Caenorhabditis elegans: one gene and its partners. The protein of the gene in region 3 purifies or fractionates together with the protein of the main gene of each other region. This does not show direct contact. Each region holds a gene or a part of one and is shown on either strand. Other genes may lie near its edges. The genes, in order: gst-42, upp-1, D1022.4 and C37H5.13.

Region 1 (4,572 bases), on a different chromosome or scaffold from region 3:
ACTTCAAACCAACGTCATTTTTATTTCACACTATGAGAAAAGTATGAATCATAAGTATTGTCCAGCAATTGAAAAAGAGAGAAGTATTGCACACTTGAAATTTATTGTACAAATAATTTGTAACTTCACTTGACAAAATGATTCCAAAATAATTTGATGTTCAAATCAATAAATGTGTTGTGTTTTCTTTTATATATAGCATTTTTATCAGTGCAGGCGTAACTTAAAAATGCCTTGACAACGGGAGGTATACACTTTGACAAAGTTGTCAAACATCACCCTTTATTAAACCTAATTCGTCACTCTTTTCCTCTTGATTCTGGTTGCATAAAGACAAAAAAAGCAGAAAAGGAGCTGCGAAGAGCGAGCCAGAGATAGAGAAAATGAGAAAAGTTGGAAATTGAACTTTGCAGACCACACTGACAAAGAAAAGAGGGGGAGAATGCGGGAGGAGAAGAGTGAAAAAAACGGATACTTTGATGAATCGAAAGGCCGGCTTGTGTTGTGGGTGGCAACCAACTAGTACTATGACTATGCCAACCTCGCCCGTAAAAACACGTTCTCTTTGCACGGAAGTCTTCCGAAAGTTCTCTAAAAGTTTCCATGACACAACATTGCCGATTGGGTTTTCAGATGCTAATCCCCAGGGATTGAGTTTGGTCATGAAGAGGAGGACAAAAAAATGACTTTTGGAGGCTTCCGGTCTGCAACTGTTTAACTTGAATTTCGAAACATACTTCTAAATAGGTAAACATCAAAAATTCTGTCTTCAAAGCAGGACATTTTTTTTGAACGCAAAAAAGTTATCAGTGGAACTCGCATACTAAAAAATTTTCCATTGGATATTTCGTTTGAATAAAGTTCAAAATATTTTTAAGAAATTAATTTATTTGAAAAAAAAACACTCAGTATGAAAACGAGAAAAGTTAGTTTACAAAGTTAAAAAAAGCAACTTGCTTTAGGATATCGCGGACATTTTCTGTTGTAAATTTATTATTACTTTTGTGCTAATTTAAGAGACAAAGAAACATTTTTTTTTAATTCTCAAATAGTTAACTCTTGTATGTCCAATCCAATAACGCAATCATTCATAAGAATCTAAGCATTGAGTCCGGTATCTGGTTGATTATCAGGATGAGCGGCAATAAAGGCGGGGATATCAGCAAGAGTCTCATTGATACGATTCACTGTTGGGTATGGCGACAAATCGAGGTTGAATCTGAAATGACGGTTTGATTGCGATCGGAACGATTTGGAAGGGAGGTTATTCTGATGGTTATCTGTGAATCTCTCATGTCTCATCCTAAACGCTCATCGCTTCCAATTCATGTTTGTTGAATGACTAATACATTTTGTTTGAATCAGGAATCCGATAAAAAGGTTGTTGCCACACAAGTGGATGTTGTTTTCAATAGGAATGTGTTTTCGTTTAAATCACTTGCTAAGATGATTCAGTAACTGTCTATGAAAAATTGGTCAGTGTTGTTTGAGGGTAACCCAAAAGGTGTTCAAATTTTCGAGGTTTTGAATACGCAAAATGTCAAACTAATACATTGAAATTCTGGATAGATTACTAAAACATAATAAATTTTCTCAAAAAGTTATCTATGTCCAAAATTCCCTGACCCTCCCTATAATCATACCGGTTAGCTGAGTAGATAAGTGGCGGGATGGAGAGATCCGCAATCGTGACGTCATCTCCGACAGCATACTTCCCAGAATGTTGCTTTAGAAGAATTTCAAGAGCAGTGAGACCTTCGACAACAAACTGTTTGGCAAACTGAAATTTTAAAAATTGAAAACATACATTGAAGATTCTGAAATTAAACCTGTCCTCCGAATCCTGCTTCTTTTTTATTCAAAAGTTGAAGAACCTTCAAATTGTGAAGAGGTTGAATTCCAGAAGCAACCTGTAAACCTCAAAACATAATTGTTACAGTTTTTGTAAAACAATAGCAGTATAAAGTTAAGAAAAAAACCAACTAAATACGTAAAACTTACCAAAAGAGAAATAGCTCTAGCGTGAGCTCTCTTGATTGGATCTTTTGGCAAAAGTGGAACGTCTGGATGCGTTTCTTCCAAATACTCAATAATCGCAAGACTTTCAGTAATTACTTGACCATCCACAACAAATGTTGGTACTTTTGCAGCTGGGTTGATTTCTTTCAGTTTGCTCTAAATTTTAAAATAATTTAAAGAACCGCTTGATTTTCTCTTACCTTAGCCTCTTCGGACAGCAAGTCGACAGTTTTGTATTCGTAGTCCACGTTTTTCAAAGCAAGCGCTGAAAATAACATTTTTGCTAGTTAAAATTGATATAATTAAAATACCAACCGATGCGAACTCTCCATGAGCACGATGATCTCCAATAAGAATACAGAACTGGCTTTTGGTTGGACATGTCTACAAGCAGAAAATAATTTTGTAAATTCTCAGAAAGAATAACTGATGATAATGACTAGTTGAAAAATAAACAAAAAGGGTCAAAGACGGAATGATGTCGAACTAACTGATAAGATTGGACGGTGTATGTCGACGAAATGGTTTTGTTGTTGTATATTGCAGACGCAGAACACTAGAGATAGTGTAATTGTGCAGACACACGTGGTCTTCTACTATACATTACCAACATCATATGTAGACCAAGAGAGAAATGCAGATTCAAAAAACATTAGAAGGAATAAGAAGAAGTAGACAAAACTATGGTAAGCCTTGGGCGATGCCTTGAGAGAACAAGCAGCCCACGACTTTTTTTATGAGGCTGCTCCCAACTCTTGCCCAAGCTGTACCCAAGTCATTTTTTCAAAGACAATATAAAAATACACAGTGCACTTTGATGTGCTTAAATGAAATTGAGAGCATCCAGGAACTATTTTTCAATTTAAACGACGTTGAGACACGTTCATTAAAAGCATATCTGGTGGATCGTATTAATGAGATCCAGACCCAAGCCACGGTGATTGTGGTGAACAACGTTCGTTTTTCGCCGGAGCTCAAGTTGGAGCTGAAAGAGATCTTGTCGAAATGCATTGACGGAACGCGGATCATTTCATCAGAGTCGATTGTTCCACGTCCCCGTTCTCAAAGCTCGACTTCTCGTCGTATCGATGGTAAGTTGAAACTAGGTGTTAGGTACATCAAAATACTAATTATATCTTTTTCAGATTTTGTGAAAATCACGGACGAGCGTCTTCTTCATCTTGTGGAAAACAATACGTCTTGGACTGGTGACAAAGTTCCGTTTTATCTCACTGAGATCAACCGCAATAAGGTAAGTTCGTGAATATGAGAAATATTTGCGGTTATGGGTTAAAATCAGAACTAATATTAATTAACTTTTTACAGTGATCGTCGACGCCCTTTCTTCTTCCCAACTCCTCTCTCATCAACGTGTCTTCGTGCTCGGGTCAACTTCTGATTTTCCGGTGTATTTTCTATTTAAGATCTCCCCTTCACTCCCTATAGATCTTTCATCTCCTTTGTTTTCCCCTCAGTCTCTTCTCAGTGCGTCAATGTAGCACGTTTATGATTTAAAAAACCAACTTCTTGCAATCTGTACTATCACTCAAGTTGGTCCAATAAATTGTTGTTTTTAAATCAACCGTCCTATTTATAAAACGTTTCAAAATGTCCTTCCATGTTAGTCTGTCCGTTCTCTGCTGTCCTCGCAAGTCTCTGAATCCCTCGTCGTTGTGATCCTAAAATCCGTCATCGATTTGTCCATTGAGTATTCTCAAAAAAGTTCCCATCAACGACATTTCTATTTCTGACCTGAATCAGTCGAAACGCAAGAGAGGTAAAGATCAGTCGACTAGGGATTGGGATGAAGCTGGTTCTAAAAACTGGTCTTTTGATAATCTGTCATTTTTCAGTGATCAATCCTATGTCATCCGTCTGGCTGCTTCAACAATGTCTACGCTGTAACTTCACAGTATACAACAAACTCTTGAAAAAAGTATGTTCCATTAGGTTATTCATTAGTTGGTATTGAGCTTTTCTTCTAATTGGACTGTAAAGTAATATGCAAAAAGTGATTAATGGATTTTTTTAGTCTTGTAAAATATTAATACAGTGAACTACCGCGCAAAATTTTACACATTTCAAGCATCGAAATGCTATTTTCAAATTGTTTTTGAATCCCTCTTTTAGTTAAGATTTCATCCAAAAATGTAATAGTGGAGAAAATGTTTATTTACAAATTATTTATTCCAATCTCAAAAATTAATAAAACACAAATACACAAACTACTGTTATAAAATCCAATTATCATCAATATCACAAGTTCACTGGAAACATACATTTCAAAATTACCGGGAGGTTCGGGGAGCTGACTAGAACTGAAAAGTTCACCAAGAAAAGAAACATTAAAATTTAAGTACAGTTGTGTTTCAGTAATTTTTCCATAATACGAAACAATGCATTATCTATTCCCATTTGAGATCAAACGACATTCCATATTTCCTCACATTACATTATGATGCACACTTTTGAATCTTCAACTTTCTCTCCTTTTTCTTTTTTACCATTTTTCTTTTTCTCATTCACTGCCTCGAATATCATATTCTCTCCCGA
Region 2 (4,913 bases), on a different chromosome or scaffold from region 3:
ATCAACTGTTACCCAGATGCGGAATTTTGGCGCTTTTTGCATCAAAAATATTCTGTTCAAAAAGCGAGAAAGAGCGATAAAAGCTAGAACTTACAGTACTCCTAAAGGCGCACACTATTTTGCACTTTGAAAAATCGGACGCTTAAATCGGACCGAGTACTACAAAACCTAAAAACTTTGCATCCTGGCAATAAATACGCGTGATTTGGCAAAACAGATACTAATGCAGGCACGAGGCAGGCGTAGGTCGTAGTGTAAGCAGATATACATTTTTGCGGCAGTCTTACTAGATCTCATTGTCACTTCAAACATTTCTTCTAAAAACACATTTTCCAGATGTCCGGAGTTGAATCCCTAGCAGTTTCATCTATCATCAATGTCCATGATTCTCATGATATGAATACATCTGATGACGATGACGTCACATCATCCCATGTGGATGCCACGTCAAAGGAATCAAAATCGATTTGTGTGAAAATGGCTCCACTACTCATCGCATTGGGCTCATTTGCAGTTTGCTCAGCGATATTACTGTACTTGTGCTCTAAGAAACCAAAAACAATTGATCTGGAATCAGAACTGAGATTCTAGATTGATTGTTTCAAAATATTGTTTTGGTAATTCATATTTTCGTATTTTCTTATCACTGCACTGATAAGAAATCTTCAATCACTTGCTACATACTTGTTACATTCCAATATTTTTGTTATTTTATTTACCTACTTTTTTATTCTTTAAATCCCCCAAAACTTCTCTGAAATCTCCGACAACACTAACAAATTGCTCAGGGTTTTGATCGAAACCAAACAGAATTTTCTCTTTTGTTTTAAAATTTTATTTGATAATTTCTAATTTTCTAAACTTTTTATTTAATTATCGTATTTATCACATCTCTACAGCTTTTCTCTACCATTACGTGTGCCTCGTTTTCCAATTTTTCTCAATTTTCTTTTAATTTGTGCCTTTCCAAAAAACCCTTGTTTTTGCGTGTTTTTTTCTGTGATTTTTTTTCTGTAAAGTTCTTCAACATGTCTTCCATAAATTATCAAGATAATTTTTTTAAAGAAAGAAAATCAAAACCTTTATTTATTTACATAAACTTTCTTTCATATTTCGACTGAAATGAAACCAAACAGAATCACATTATTCTAGAAGAGAAGGGTTAGTTAGAGAGGGGTGCATTAGAGAAAATATATGAATACTATTCGTGTGGTAAGGAAACATGGAAAGCAATTAGTTGAGAATCTTGATTTTAAGATTATTAGATCCCGGTCTGCTTGCGAATGTAGGCAGTTACAAGGCGGAATGGACGTTCCTCGTATTCAATATATTGCTCTTTGGCGATTTGAACCTATAAATGTTATAATTGAAGACTGTCAATAAGAATCAAAATATTACCTGATCTCCATCCATACGATTCAAAAGAGTGACGCAGACAATAGCAGACTGGAATCCAGCGCGACACGTGAAGCTGGCGAAGCAAGTTGACTCCATCTCAATATTTCGTACTCCAAGAGCATTTAGCTTCCGCAAGAAAGCATACTTGTCTTCTTCTTCGTAATCGCAAAAGTATCCATCAAGACGCATCTGTCCCTCATAGAAATCGTCGGCGCACATGGTTTTTCCAGTTTCAACTGGAATGCTTTTCTCTTTTCCGACTTCGCAAAGAGCCTCGCGGAGTGCGGCATCGAGTTGAGTAGGCCGCTCAATTCTTTTTCCTGCGATGATTTGCACATAGGTATCTCCAAGCTCAGCATTCATGGCTTCAGTTGACACAACAACAGTTCCTGGTGGAACACCGACTCCTCCAGATGTTCCAAGACGAATGAAAGTTGGGTTCTTAACACCAGCATGGTGCATCAACTTGAAAGATTCGACGAGCATGATGCTCAAAGATGGGGTTCCCATTCCATGCTGTAAATTTATTTTTGTCAAATAATTGTCGCCTCAAAATAACATACGTTGATCCAGCAAACTGGTCCAGTTTTGTAAATCACGAAACGGTCAGACCGTGAGAGATTTTCAGAGCATGGAATATTGGCCTCTTTGGCAAACCATTCAGCATACAACTTGAAACGTCCTGGAGATCCTCCAGTGCAGACGAACTGAAATTAACTTAATGATAGTGCAAATTATTATTCACTAAAATGATTCAATTTCGGCACACAACACCTATAAAAACAAAAAAAATCTTCCGTTGCGGGGAATCGAACCCCGGCCTTATGAGTGAGAGCCATAAATCCTAACCACTAGACCACAACGGAGCGTGTTTGACACGTGCAGTAAAGACATAGACATTCCTATGACACGAAGGGCGCTTGTGTAACAATTGGCTAGAAGTATTACCCGCCCTAGGAGAGAGATAAACTTATCAGTGAGGAATATGTAGCTCTTGAAAATTCTAGATTCGTTTTGTGTTGGTATCGATTCAAATTATATTTACCCTCTATTGAAATTGGACACCAGGAGGCGCGTGGCTATGCAAATTTATAATTCAAAAAGAAGAAAACTCGCATGACAACTAACGGGTCAAAAAATTGAAGAAATAAAAGCGCCAAATGAATGAATATATTTTTGTGTTTGTTCTGTTGATCGATATGTATGAATAGAGAAAACTGTTGCATCATTCTACCTGGGAAGTGAAGACATAAATGGATTATTTCTCATATTTTTTGGAACATTATGAATCACCAGCCGTGGACCGCACCTACGGCGCGGCCCCCGACTTCTTTGAGAAAACACATTAGATATACGGTGTCTATCGCGGACCTCGATCGATGCCTGCTGCGCACTTAGCATAAGGTTTCCCAAAATTTCGTTGCTCTGATCAGAGATCAAACTACATAGGGACAGAAGGACACGCGCTTTATATATAGTAAACGATTTTTAAAGTGGAACATTTCTCGAAGATTAGGAGTGAACTAATATTAAAACTAATGAGGGAACTTTTTCACTTATTCAATTTTTTCTAGACTTTGTAGAACCAACCTTGGTATCTCCAAAAACTGCTGGAATATCGAGAGTGTCGACTCCAAAACCAAAGTGATAAAGAAAATCTCTTTTATCCTTGATATCGAAGTACTTGTTTGGCTTCTCCACATTTCCGTTCTTGACAAGTCCGTTCATCTTGATGGATCTGAAAAAATTCCAACTTATAGGAATGAAAAAAAAAACTTCATGAATAAAAGAGAGCAAAACAAAAACAGGAACCAGAATACGCGTGCTAAATGTCGTCAGTATCACATAGAATAAGAAAAGGGCACTCCAAAAGAGACGAGGAGAGAGCAGAGAGAGTAGACGGTTAGAGATGCTTAAAAAGGACTCAAATCCAATTTGGACAACTCGTGAGCTCCAGGCTACGTGATAAATAATAAAAACGAGAAAAACGAGATTCTACCTTTGCTACCAAGACTTTTAGTACACCTCAGAGAAAAATTGAAATTTAAAAGAAAAGTGAAACAATTATTTTTCAATCTGAAATAAGCAAAATCACTCTAATATATAAAGACGAAAAAGAACTCACAAATTTCCAAATGAAAATATTGAGAAAATGAAACTTTTATTCCGTAAAGCAAGTAACCTCGAAACTCCTCCCTTTTTATCTATCTTTTTTTTTGTTTTCGTCGAGAAAATGGGCGGAACGATTGGAAATAGATGGAAAGAAAAATTATTTTGCGGAAAAAAGAAAGCGTGGTGATGTAACAAACAGTTTCTGTGAAGAAGCTTCGACAAGTCAGAAAAATTGAGTAAAAGGACAAAGTTTTGAAATTTGAGTAAAAAAGTCAACAGGAACTGAACTTTCTGAGACAATAAAGACAAACAAAACGATGGTGACGCAGTTTAGAACAGTTTCCACGTGGAAAATCGAAAATCTCCGATTGTTTTCAACGAAGGATTTGCTTTTATTTGATTTAAACTTTTCGCACCAGCAGTTTGTTCAAGCACCACATGATATAAACTTTGGATATTAATAGTAATGAATTATCTTACTGAAAATATGAAGTTTTTAGACTTAAATGGAAGAAATTCGATGATTTCGAAGGAAAAAAATAAATTCGCGAGAGTTTGAAAACACCTGTCGTAAGATGTAGCGTAAGTGTGCAAACACCGACACGTCGACATGCAGACAGATAAAAACGCGCGAACTTTGAATATTACAATTTTGCGAGAATCTTTTTTGTTTCAATTATTATTTTAAAAGTTTGCGGTAAGAATACAGATAATAATAATCATGTCATTCTGATCTCCGCGTTCAATTGTTTCTTATCTGCACAAAAAGTTCTTTCTCCTGATAATGCTGATAATTCTTGCTGCCAACTTTGTTCATTTATAGTTTTATGGTGTTGATTGTTCAAAACTACGCTTTTAGTGTCCCCAGTGTTTCATCTATTTGTCATCGTAAATAAAAGGCTAGTTCCTGAACACATTGACAATAAATTTCAATCATGAAAGATGGCGAGATTATAACAATGATTCTGCGAAAGAGACAGCACGTGGCGCAAGAAGATGACGAAAAAAGACGGAAATGATAAAGTCAACGGGACACAGTTATGAGGGGTGATCTTATCAATTGTTATCATGATTTTTAAGTGACACTGAATATTTGGAAATTCGGTCTACAGTAGTCTCACAACGTCACAAAAATCGGTTGCCGAGTTGCCGAAAAAGGGCATGAGTTTCAAATGCGAAAGATTTTTCGTTTTTATGGGTACTGTAGTTTCCAACTCGTCATTTCTTTCAAAGCTGGCTTCTTCCAGTTTTTTGAAACCTGAACAAAAATTTATTGAGCATCGTTCTCAAATTTTCAAATTTTGACTGCCAACATATTATTGTTAGAATTCAAAAAGAAACGTTGATAATTTCAAAAGATTCAATTTTAAATTTGCAATCTCATCAAAATGCTAAAAATAAAG
Region 3 (3,749 bases):
TCCATGGTGAACTTGAATAAAAATATCATCTAATTGTTCTAAAGGAATTCCTTCGATAGGGGTCAGAGTTCCATGAAAACTTATAACAGCTCGAATTCCATCAAATCTATAACGAGCACAATCCAGGGAACACAGTCCTCCAATACAGAATCCAAATGCACCGAGCTTCTGTTTATCTACACATGGAACAGATTTCAAGGCATTTAAAGCAGCTTCTAATCTTGGTTTCAACTTTCCATTTCTATCGCTAGTCATAGGACGGAGCAGTGTCACTGCCGATGAGATGTCTGTGCATCTAATTCCTTTTCCATAAATATCAGCAACAAGAGCTACATATCCATGTTCTTCAGCCAATAATTTTGCCCTTGCAATTTCCAGTTTGGACACTCCTCGGAATGCAGGGAAAATCAAAACGCCGGGATGTTTAGTAGAGTTATCGGAGCTGAAAACATTGAATTATAGTTTCAAACTTTTCAAAAATCTTAAAATATCAATTATCAATTATCACAGACATCGGATATAACTTGAAAACTCTTATTTGTTGAAATCAATTTAGATCTATTTTAGATATACATAGTGTTCAACGGTTTCATTTAACAAGTAAACAATCAAATAATAACCTTGGTTTATACAGCTCTCCTGAAAATAAATTGCCATCCGCATCTTCATAATCAATAGTTTGATGAATCGACATAGCTTTCAATTCGGAAAAAAGCTATGAAATCTGAACTTTAAAATTTATAGAATCAGAAAAAGTTCTGCAAAAAATGACAAAATGATCATAATAAATACTTTTATACATTTACTTATCATATTTATTTCAAACAGGTTTGTTACGACGGAGAGATAGAAAAGTCACAAAATTTTGTGATCGTAGTGTACAGTACAACATTAGAAGATTTCTTTGAACAAGTCGAGAGTTGCATTCCATGATCTTTTTGCAGCCTTCTCATTGTAACCAATTCCTGGTGCATTGAAACTGTCAGCTTCTGGCTCAGTGAAAGCATGAACTGCATTTGCATGCGATACAAAGACAAAATCAGCTTGACGAGTTCTCATTTCTTCATGAAATCCATCAACTTGATCTTTTGCAATATGGAAGTCTGCGTCTCCGTGATGAACATACACAGTTGTTCCAACAATTGGATCTAGAGCAATATCAGGAATTGGTTTCAAAGTTCCATGATAGGATACAACTCCTTTGAGTCCAGCATTGTATCTTGCCAAATCGAGAACACAAAGCCCACCGAAACAATATCCGATTGCTGCAATTTTTGAGGTGTCCACTTCAGAGAAAGTCTTCAAAGTATTGACAGCGGCAAAAAGTCTTGGTTTCAGTTTCTCAACGCGATTGGAAACAAGCGGTCCCATTGTTGCAAATGCATCTGCTCGTTCAGTTGGTCTCACACCTTTTCCATAGACATCAGCAACAAAAGCAACGAATCCAAGCTAAAATTTGGTCTTTTTTTTTAAATCAGCATATTCCTGAGAATGCAGCTGTTATAGTTTTCCTGATTTTGTAAAACCTACTAAATATAGACTTTAAAGTAACCTCGGCAATTTGTTGGCCTTTGTCCTTTTCGAAATGCGTAATTCCTCGGAAAGCTGGGAAAATCAGTACGGCGGGAACTTTTGACTGTTTTACATTCCTACAAAAATAAATAAAAAATGAAAATAAAAAATAAAAAACAAACTTTGGAATATAAAGAACTCCTTCAAAGTTATTACCTTCCTCATCAGAATAATCAATAAGTTTCGTGGTAACGGTCATCTCGAAAAGAAGAAAACTAACAAGAGTTATCTAAGACGGTCAATATATATGTATACCTTTTGGGGTTTGACGTTGTCTGCGTATCGTCTCTATTACCATTATAACTGCTATATTTATGACCTTTCGTTTTTTTCTCTCTGGGTCTCTACGTTTCATTAGTGCGTAGCAAACATAGTTTCGGGAAAGTTCACAAACCAAAAAGTTGTCACAAAAATGATCAATATAAACTACATCTCTATTAAGACTTTAAACTGTGTTCAAAGCCATAAAAACTGAGCCAAAATTTTGAAGTTATCTGAATCTGATTAAAAATAACAAATATTTTTCTTTCTCTTTCATGAAAATTTATATAAATTTAAATAATGCATATAATATGAGATTTAAAATATTTCTTTAAATAAAGCCAAAGCAGATGCCCATGATCGATCCGCAGCTTTTTTGTTATATTTAACTCCGGGAAGTCCGAAAGAATCAGCATCTGAAAAATAAAAATATATCGTAAAGTTATTCGTAAACTATTTCTACCTGGCTCTGTGAATCCATGTTCAGCATGTGCATGACTGGAAAACACAAAATCCGCATTTCGAGTTCTCATCTCCACGTGGAATCCATCGACTTGTTCTTTTGGAATATGAGCATCCGAATCTCCATGATGAACCTGGACAGCTGTTTCAATAATCTTATCAAGTGGAGCATCAGGTATTGGAGTCAGTGTGCCATGAAATGAAATGGCTGCTTTCAGTCCAACATTGTACCTGGCTAGATCAAGCGCACATAGGCCTCCAAAACAAAATCCAAGTGCTCCAATTTTATTAACATCTACACACTGAACAGCCTTTATGGCATCAAATGCCGCGACTATTACACACTTTAATAGTTTACTCCTCTCAATTATCATTGGGCGTACAATTGCAAAACATTCTGCTTTGTCTTTTGGATGAATTCCCTTTCCAAATGGATCAGCTGCCAATGCGATGTAGCCCTCCTGAGCAAGAGCCTTCGCTTTTTCTTTTTCAAATTCGGTGATTCCGCGGAATGCAGGGAACACAAGGACACCGGGAAGTTTTCTCATTCTAGTTGTTCTGGAATAAATAACAAGTTTGGTTTGATAATTAGTTAAACCAGTCTGATACTATGTTGATGTCAAATGTTACCATTCTAATCATCAATCAGATTTCGTATGCTAAGTAAATTTAATATTGCATAACATTTATCGAAAATTTACAACATAGATTCAAATTTTTAATTTGTTTAAAATCCCTAATTTCAATAAAGTTGAGGCAATCGTTTGTCACAAAAAAACACCACACAACAGAAAGTCAACAAATGCAAACCTATCCGACTGGTGGAAGGAAAAACAATCTAATCCGCACACACTTTTATTATTCATGCTAAAATTCAATCTTCCGGCAAAATTCACATAAACTTTAAATTTATACAAACCTTGGAACATAAAGATCTCCTTCGTACACTTTTCCATTGGAATCTGTGTATTGAAGTTGACTATGAGTAACAGACATCTTGCCTTCGCGACACCAATAAAACAACTTTCACTTTTGTTGTTTCAACTACTTTTATAAGAAATTTCCTGAATTTTGTGTTTCTCTAGGCTCTCCAAATCTCTCCGATGAGCACAAAATAAGGACACATTATTTTGTGACCAACTTCACCATACATCCAAAAACTGTCGTACGAGACGGTCGCATCACAAATCTTAAATACTGGAATAACAATTTATAACGATATAGTCACAAAATTAGATATGAAATTAGCATTGTCCCTGACATGTAAATGTTACTCTGACAGTTCTGACAGTTCTGAGGTAGTTGTCTCTACACGCTCTGCATAATGAAACCACAGAAATCATGTTATTGTTTGGAGAAATTGTTGGCACAAATGGATTTGCATTTATTAGAGATTTTCCAGTCTATTTTTGTAAAGATATTCATTTTAATTTTATATTTATTTGAAAAAAAAA
Region 4 (8,292 bases), on a different chromosome or scaffold from region 3:
AACCATTTGTGGGATAAAGTAAAGGTTCGAGGGCGTGTAGGTCTCGCCACGAAAACACGACCGGCGCCAAATAGGAAATCGCTGCATTTGGCCGATTTTGCCCGTTCTTCCTTTAAATTATATTCAAGGTTTTACAAAAGAATAAATACGTAATTGTGGAAATCCCTAAATAAATCTTTCAATATTTTCAGATTGACTTACAAGACATCTCTCTCGAGTACAAGCGAAAATATCAACGCCCTCTGGAGCACGACATTTGCCAATCAACTTCTGGGGAATATACCCGAATGATTTGCACACTTCTCAGCGGATTCAACAATTTGGAGAACAGTTTTGCGCCGACACCAGAATCAATTGAAGAATAATTTTCATTTTGTACATATTTATCAATTTCTTCCTCATCTAATCAAATTACAAATCAACACATACCCTCATGCCCGCTGACCTAAAAATTTCAAACTTATCTCTTTAATTTCTCACATTTCTTAAATGTATCAAAACTGTACTGAAAAAATACAAACAAAAAAAAACTAAAAAAACTTTTTTTTTTAAAAAAGAAAGAGATCATTCAAAAGAAAAACTTAAAACTACACTTAACACTACACGAATGTCCGTTTATATTTTTGATCGAAGTTTCAAAAAAAAAGATGTACAATAAATAAATGAAGATTCCAAGTTTCATTATTACTATTATTTGGCAGGAGACGCATTTGGACGATTCTTAGCGGTTCGGATCAGCGCTTCTTGTGTGGTCGAGAACACCAAACGTCCGTCTCTGGTCCACAGCTTTCCTTCAATAAGACTACGTCCGCCACCGGCAATCGTTGAGTGATTCTCATAGAGCATCCAGTCGTCGACACGGAAGTTGTCAGTGTGCATCCAAATCGAGTGGTCAAGAGTGAGAGCCATTGATGGGATGAAGCCGCGTCTGGAAGGAGATGATAAATGTATGTGGAATAAATGATTGGATCCTTAATTGGTGGTCAAACTTATAAACCATTAGCTGCAGATATCAAAGTACCCCTACTCCAAAAGTCAAAAACTCATTTCTCCCCAAACTACAGTACTACTACAGTACCCCTACTGTACTTAAACATTTAACAATATCAAACCTACTTCGAATGAGGTCTCAATGCAGTTTCAATCATCGTTGCATCCGAAATGTATGCAGCAGCAGCCAAGTGAAGTCGTGGATCATCCCCAATGTTCTCGTTTGCTTTAATCCAGACGTACGATCGGTAGGCATCAGTTGGATGGCCATGTCCAGCCGTATGATCGTCTTTTTTCAGACAAAGGTATGAGTCAATGTCGACTGGGCGGAACTGAAAATGTTTTAGTTGACAAGATTAAACTACTGTATTTTCACTGTCAAGATTGTACTTTGGAAATTCTTGTTCAAGCTGTTTAAGCTGAGTATCGTAAATTTGGGAAAACACGCTGTTTTCTGAGTGGGTCTCGCCACGATCTCATAGTCAGTTATAGCAGATTCTACAGGTTCCAAATTTTGCAAATATGCTCATTCGATGCACTCACTAACCGAAAAGATTCTGAAGAATGCGGGTGGAATTTCCTTTTGCTTGAATCCAATCATCGCAAGTGCAGCTGGAGGAATGTTAGCATTCTTCTTGATTCTCTCAAAAGTGTCCGAAAGATCCTCGAGACTATCTGGAGCCGGAACCTCGGGCATTGGCAACTGGTGGACAATGGAATCCGCTTCTGGCTGAAACGAAAATTTATTAATCATGGAAACTCATAAAATTACTCTCACTCTATGAAACGAGATTTGTACTGTGAAGATGGCTTCACCATCTTGCAGAGCCTTCACCAATCTAGTGCAGAAGCTCTTTCCGTCTCTGATGCGGTCAACTTGGTATAGAATCGGGCGTTCCACGTTGCCACTTTGAACAAAGTAGCTGTGAAGACTGTTTGGAACGAAGCCGACTTCGACGGTGGCGGTGGCGGCCGAGAGAGCTTGTCCGATGACCTGTCCTCCGTAAACAACTGGCAAAGAGTTTCGGCCTTTGAGCAAGTGACGAGCCCTGAATTTAGAGGATTATTGAAAAATTAGAAACCGAAAATTGGGTGAAACCCGACGTTTTCGACTGTACTCAGGAAAATTCTGAATCCGGTTGCTCAAGACACAGGAATTCAGTAGGCAATTACAAAACTCCGATAGGCACCTATAAATAAACATACAGCAGGCAGGTAGGCTGGCGGGGAGGCACGTAGGTAGGGGAACATAGGGTAATGTGCGGGCGAGTAGCGGGCAACTGATTCAACGAGCTAGGCCTGTGAAAAGACCCGTCGCAAAACAGAGGCTCGTCCTCTAGGGAGCCTCTGTCTACTAGCGTCCCCGACTGATATTTCGGGACACGGTTATGAAATTCACTACCAGCTCAAAAACAAGTCAATAACATTTTTTGGGTCAAAACATCAGAAGCTTTGGCGGGACGACCCGCGCGGCCCTTTCCACAGACCTACAACGCAAAAACCTAACCGTATTGGATTAATCACCAAAAAAAGAACCGGACGTCAGCTTTGCCAGCCGTAGAAAAATTCCTCGATTGTCGGGGGGAAATAAGTTCTGAATTATTTCCCATCCAACAAATACAAAAAATAATTTAGATTTTCAGGTTCATACGTTTTCCCGCACCAAAAATTTATCAGATACACAGAAAATATCAGCAAAAAAAAACTCACAAATACAAGTTCTTGTCCACTCTTTCCAGATTCAAAAACGTGTCGATAAGCCCGGCACGAATGTCATCGGCACGGGACGTCATGTCAATGTGGGTGACGTTGAGAAGCATCGGATAGTGTTGAACACCGTTCTGATCGTCAATTTCCATTGAGCGCTGCAATGAGTGAAATTTGGATTTGTGGGGAAGATTGAAGAGTTGGAATAAGCGACAACGTGGCTTGCGTGAAGCATGGTTATTACAGGTTTTCACGATAAAATTATTTAAAAACCCTTAAAAAATTCCTTTGAGAAACATGAAAAATCAAAAAAAAAAGGTGGCTGCTTTAATTTTTGGAACTGAAGTTGTGCCAGTAGGGCCATAGTTAAAATCATTTCTATACTGCTAAAATTATTTTAAAAAAGCTTAGTAAAACTATTCTAAAATTTTCAGAAATAATTTTTTTCCAGTTAAAAAGGGGCTTAGCGCTACAAGTAATTTTGAAAGTAGATCAAAAATTTTTTTTTCAAATTTATGTTTTTATCAATGTTTTTAAAAACCTTTTTCAACAAGTTAAGGGTATCGTCAGTGATGTTTAAATTTTATAAAACACTTGTTATTGTTATAAAATACCATATATCACACTTAAACACTCCGCACAGTTTCAAAATTATGTTTTCAAAATTGTCAGTCAAAATTTTGGTAAGTTGCCAAATCTACCAAAAAAGTAGATTATCAAGTAATTTTATTCTTAGCGTTGATGCACGTTTAAACTTCAACAATGTTTCAAATCAACTGTTCAAACTTTACAATTTTACAATACAAATTTTAAGTTAGAACAACTTTCTGGTCGACTTTCAAAATTATGAAGTTTCCACCACTCAATAAAATTTCGAAAAATTTTAACTATAATATTTGGCACTTTTCAATAGACAATTCTAATAAAAGCAAGTCCTAATTTCAAAAATGTAGCTTACGGTCAAAGAATTCTAAAAAAAGAAGAAGGAAAATTGTTTCAAAATACTCAAAATGTACTTTAATTGAAAATAACTACTCTGCGCTCTACAATCTATGAAACTTGAAAGGCTATAGACTCACCGAGGGGGCCGAGCTGACGTGCTGTGGTCTGTGCGCAAAATGGCTCTGCACGACTGGAGCAGTGTTTGCGTGAGTTGAGGAAGGAGATGACATACCGTTGCCCGTTGTCAAGCTTTCCAAACGTTTCTGTTCGATGAACCGACGTGCAGTCTGGAAGAAAAATGGAATTTGTTTTTTTTTTCGGAAAATACTTGACATAAAAACGAACACAAACGCACAAGGGGAACAAAAAACATTGAAATTTCTTCCTCCACCGCTTGAAGGGCCTGAAGGGAAAAAGAGTGTGGAGAGGAATTGAGGAAGGACGATGTGAGAGTGAAGAGACGCAGACAAGAAAAGACGGGGAGAAGAAGGCTCGACACGGATTAACATGAAGGACAAGCAAATGTGGGGTGAGGATAGGATGACTAGAAGGAAACAGAGACGACGGAAACTTTTGATTTGGGATTTGGAAATGAATTGGATAAAGATTAGGATTCGGATGATCAAGGCTCGATAGAAATTTACCGGAAATTTGCACAAAGTGGTGAGAAATTGGAAAATGGTTCCCCGATTGAAATCTCAATTCTAAAAATTCACACCGAAAAATTTATATTCATATATAGAACCTAAAAAATTGTCAAATTATTTTAAAATTGCTGATTGTTATGATAAAATACTCCTAAAATTTTCAGACACCGTTTGGGTAATTTTGCAAATTTTGTGTTAATGTTCGAACTGCACAATGCTTTATACAAGTATTCAAAGTATTTAAAAATTAAATTTAATATCCGTAGAAAACTTTTTCACTGTAAGTTTAAAAAAACGAAAGTTTTTGTGAAAACATTTTAGTAACAAAAGAATTTTCTTTTAAAATTTTTTAGCTAACTGTATTCTAATTTTAATTAAATAAATATAGTTTTTAAAAGAATTTATTGATTAGCTACATTGGAAAATCTGCATAAAAAACCCCAAATTTTCAAAAGTAAATTTCAATAACTTTTCTTCAAAAATATCTACAATTCTAGCATTTTTGCTTCTCTAAATCATAAATATTCTTTTTTTTTGAAATAATGAACACGTTGACACGAATTCTCATTTTAAATTTTACAAGCTAAAGAAAAAAATTCAGTTCTCGTTAAATTTTCGGTTCTAGACTACTCTTTTGACTGTTGTTTTTCTGTTGTTTTAAAATGATCAGAAAATCTTGCAGCAACAAAATCAAAACACAAAGTTCTGAACAAAAGATCACATATCACATTCGTGAGAAATGCAACATATTGACATTTCTATAAAACAATATAACTGGTACGTATGCAAATGTTTGACATGAAATATTGTTTTTACGATGCGCTGTTCAGGGAATTTGGCAGAAATCGTGTGATTTGTTGCAAAACATAAAATATATGACGGTATTTGATTTTAAAAATTATGAAATTTTTTAAACGATATTAAAAGGGATTTCAAAAACTCCAAAGTTAAAAAGTACTGAAGAAGATCTCTAAATTTAGTTTTAAAAATAAAAAAAACAAAGAAGAGAATAACTCTGCTAGAAAATCTGCCAGCAAACAGAGGAGCCAACTCTACGAACAAATGTTCAGTCTGCAAGCTGGGGGGGGGGGGGGGACACGCTCCGATGAGCAAAAGGGAATCAGAAGTGTATCTGGCTAGGCGTTAATTAAATTGGAAAAAGAGGAAAAGGAGAGACAATCTGTCACGCCATACTAGACAAAATAATGGGAATCAATAGAGCAGATAGACGAAGGAAACCAGGAGGAAGTGAAAGAAAAATTTTGTTGGGAAACCAAACATTTAATTTGGTTGCACACATTCTATTTGAATTCAACTTAACATTCAAAAAAATTCGCATTGAAAGTTATACAAAATGATTTCAAGTATACCTATGCTACACAATTTTTTTTGCAAGTGTGAAATCTATAGAGTTTGAGCAAAATTACTCAGAAACGAGAGTTTAAAGGCGCTCACTTTCTGGCATCAAATAAAATTGTCGTGGTGAGCCCGGCTACCGTATTTTTTTGCGCAAAAATCGCAAAAAAAAACGCGATCGGGCAACTACACAAAACATGGAATTGCAAAAAAAAACATTTCGACTAAGAATTGTGTTTTAATTCCAAGATTTGATAAGAAGAAAGTGCACGTTAATTCTGCAAATCAGAAAATCTAATTTTCATTTTATTTATTAATAAGTTTTATTGGATTAAACTGAGGAAATGAAGATTAACATCTTTGCTAATCATTTATTTCCAATTAAATTCCCGATCAAAAGTTATTTCTAGTATTAAAAAAATTGCTCAAATTTCAAAAGAAAAACTCACCGATTTTACAAAATGACGAGCTGTCCTGCATCCGACTAGCATCTTCTATTGTTCCACAAAAATTCGAAAGAGCAACAAAAACTCGTCTTTTCTCTCCCAGTAAATATTAGAAATGAAATAAAAGATGATATTAGCTTTTCTTTAAAAATACGAGTTCTTAAGTGAGGGCCCGCTGAGATTGAGAGATCTCTAAAAACGTGGAGGTTTAGACGTAAAAGTGTTTGTTTGGTAGCGAACGACTGACCGATGAGACCAGTGACTACACGTTATGTGTGTAGTCGAAACGATAGAAATGACGCAATTTTAGAGAACAACTACACGCTGGTGACTTGTCTAGGAGGAATTTTTTTTTGCAGACCGAGAGTGTTTCAAAAGATGAAATATTGATTTTGAGTTTAAAATTCAGTGCAGCTAGGCTAAACAGTGTTGTCAGAAATTATTCATTTAGAACATAAAAACTTTCACTGTAAATTTATAAAATGGTTACAATTTTCATTGGAGTAAATCTAGGTTGATTTACCGCAATTTCGAAGTTAAAAAGGAAAGAGGTAAAATTTTTGACTGGCAAAGAAAAAAAAGGTATCAGGCGCGTGCGGTAAATGTAGACCTGCCGAATTTGTAGAGTTTGGCAAATTTGCCGGATTTGCCGAGCTCGGAAAATTTTGAGGTTTGCCGCACGTCTCTACTAGGTACAGGCCACCGGAAAGTGTATGCGTTTTCGGTTTCCCGGTGATTTGCCAACAGTTTTGAATGAGTATAACTCTGAAACTAAAAACTTCGGCAAACATTTTTATTATTATACTTTTTCTACTCACTGTTTCTGAGAGATTATACTTTCACATTAAAATGAAACCTATGGCATTCGAAGAAAAATTCTTTAAACATGACTCTAAATAAAATTCAGCTGCATATGAGCACTTGAAACTAGGAAAAAATTAAACCTGAAATCGTGTTTCACTACTTTTGAGATTTAAAATAAATTACTAACTCAAGTTTTTTACGAACATGTCTACAATCAAGATTAAGAAAACTTCTTTGAAATATTTTTAAAAATTATTTCAAAGTACTGATCTACAAAGTTTCAGATGAACTTACTTAAAAGGATTTCATTCTTTAAGTATAGAAAATGAAAATTCAAAGATATTTACCATCTCTGAAACCCACTTATTTTTGTGGATTTTGTTCCAATGAGAAGCAAATACCACATATCAAACAATTTTTAATTTTTAGAATAAAATATATATTTAAACAATTAATAAAGATTCCTAGAGAAAAAAGTACTTTCGTTGAAAATCACAGCTTTGTTGTTGGAAAATCAGACGATTGAGGAAAAAAGAAGAGTTTTTGAAAGGCAAATAAAAATTCGTCATTTATTTTTGCAGAGAGTTTGTTTGCGCCCGAGAATGAACTTAAAGTGCTATCTGAGAAAAATATCGAACACTTTGAAAATTTTGCGGAAAGTGTTTCAAGATTTTCGATCAAAGTATCGAGGTGGAAATAAATTTCCTTCAAATGTTTTCCTCCAGTTTTAAAAATATGATGAAAATCTGGTGATAAATATTGCAGAGGAAATTCTTGAACCCAAATGTACCTAATAAAAATGAGAATGAGAAATTCAACAGAAGACTAGACTGGCTACAATGTAGCCTATGAAATTCAATTTCAATATTTTCTTCCGCTTCATTTGTTAATTTCAGTGTTTTTCAGCCATAACAAGTCGGAAACCCGGGGAATTGAAATTCTATTGAATACGTAAGCGTTAATAAAAACTTTCAGATGGAAGAGAAAACCGGAAATTAGTTAGGACTTTTAATCTTGACATGTGTTCTGAATCAGTGTCAGGAGGGGCAGAAAAAGTAGATCCGGAAAATCAATGGGATACCAATCATAGGGAATTGAACACAAATTGCAGATTTTATACAATATGTGCACGGCTTTATATTAAAAAAAAATTTAGGTTAATTATAATTATAGGCCTATAGGCTCCTCCAAAATCTTGGCTGTTTTGGAAAATTACATCAAATTTTCTAATACTTGATGGCCGGATTGAATAATATGTTTAATATGTTTAATATGTTTTATTCTATCATCTATTACATAGGAAGAAAATATTTTGAAATTTGAAACCGTGCAAACTGAGAATTTCGTAATTAGCTCCGTTTTGTGACACTAGGGCTCTTTGGGAAAGTCAGAAGGCCGTG

Evidence for each region.
Region 1: the proteins of D1022.4 (region 3) and gst-42 fractionate together in Caenorhabditis elegans (co-fractionation; one large-scale study listed by BioGRID). This does not show direct contact.
Region 2: the proteins of D1022.4 (region 3) and upp-1 fractionate together in Caenorhabditis elegans (co-fractionation; one large-scale study listed by BioGRID). This does not show direct contact.
Region 4: the proteins of D1022.4 (region 3) and C37H5.13 fractionate together in Caenorhabditis elegans (co-fractionation; one large-scale study listed by BioGRID). This does not show direct contact.

What each region holds. Positions count from the first base shown.
Region 1 is NC_003284.9:11,725,396-11,729,967, forward strand, and holds gst-42 (putative maleylacetoacetate isomerase), read right to left. Parts: upstream 2,542-4,572; 5' UTR 2,402-2,541; coding exon 2,335-2,401; intron 2,285-2,334; coding exon 2,220-2,284; intron 2,176-2,219; coding exon 2,002-2,175; intron 1,911-2,001; coding exon 1,830-1,910; intron 1,781-1,829; coding exon 1,644-1,780; intron 1,220-1,643; coding exon 1,099-1,219; 3' UTR 869-1,098; downstream 1-868. Other genes in the region: D1053.2 (Histone-lysine N-methyltransferase, H3 lysine-79 specific), read left to right, coding at 2,756-3,110, 3,165-3,271, 3,346-3,348; D1053.3 (Ras family protein), read right to left, coding at 4,468-4,572.
Region 2 is NC_003281.10:7,639,966-7,644,878, forward strand, and holds upp-1 (Uridine and thymidine phosphorylase), read right to left. Parts: upstream 3,137-4,913; 5' UTR 3,127-3,136; coding exon 2,989-3,126; intron 2,267-2,988; exon of another isoform or gene 2,183-2,266; intron 2,106-2,182; coding exon 1,962-2,105; intron 1,915-1,961; coding exon 1,399-1,914; intron 1,352-1,398; coding exon 1,262-1,351; 3' UTR 1,069-1,261; downstream 1-1,068. Other genes in the region: fbn-1 (EGF-like domain-containing protein), read left to right, coding at 337-591. UniProt on the Caenorhabditis elegans protein: Catalyzes the reversible phosphorylytic cleavage of uridine and thymidine to uracil and ribose-phosphate or thymine and deoxyribose-1-phosphate.
Region 3 is NC_003280.10:7,455,516-7,459,264, forward strand, and holds D1022.4 (Dienelactone hydrolase domain-containing protein), read right to left. Parts: upstream 1,778-3,749; 5' UTR 1,772-1,777; coding exon 1,695-1,771; intron 1,650-1,694; coding exon 1,553-1,649; intron 1,450-1,552; coding exon 892-1,449; 3' UTR 799-891; downstream 1-798. Other genes in the region: D1022.3 (Dienelactone hydrolase domain-containing protein), read right to left, coding at 1-442, 621-694; D1022.5 (Dienelactone hydrolase domain-containing protein), read right to left, coding at 2,152-2,249, 2,297-2,853, 3,215-3,291.
Region 4 is NC_003283.11:4,856,599-4,864,890, forward strand, and holds C37H5.13 (Acyl-coenzyme A thioesterase 8), read right to left. Parts: upstream 6,368-8,292; 5' UTR 6,134-6,367; coding exon 6,092-6,133; intron 3,927-6,091; coding exon 3,777-3,926; intron 2,856-3,776; coding exon 2,701-2,855; intron 2,585-2,700; coding exon of another isoform or gene 2,533-2,584; exon of another isoform or gene 2,515-2,532; intron 2,040-2,514; coding exon 1,769-2,039; intron 1,721-1,768; coding exon 1,538-1,720; intron 1,323-1,537; coding exon 1,117-1,322; intron 929-1,116; coding exon 691-928; 3' UTR 366-690; downstream 1-365. Other genes in the region: nex-4 (Annexin), read left to right, coding at 192-365.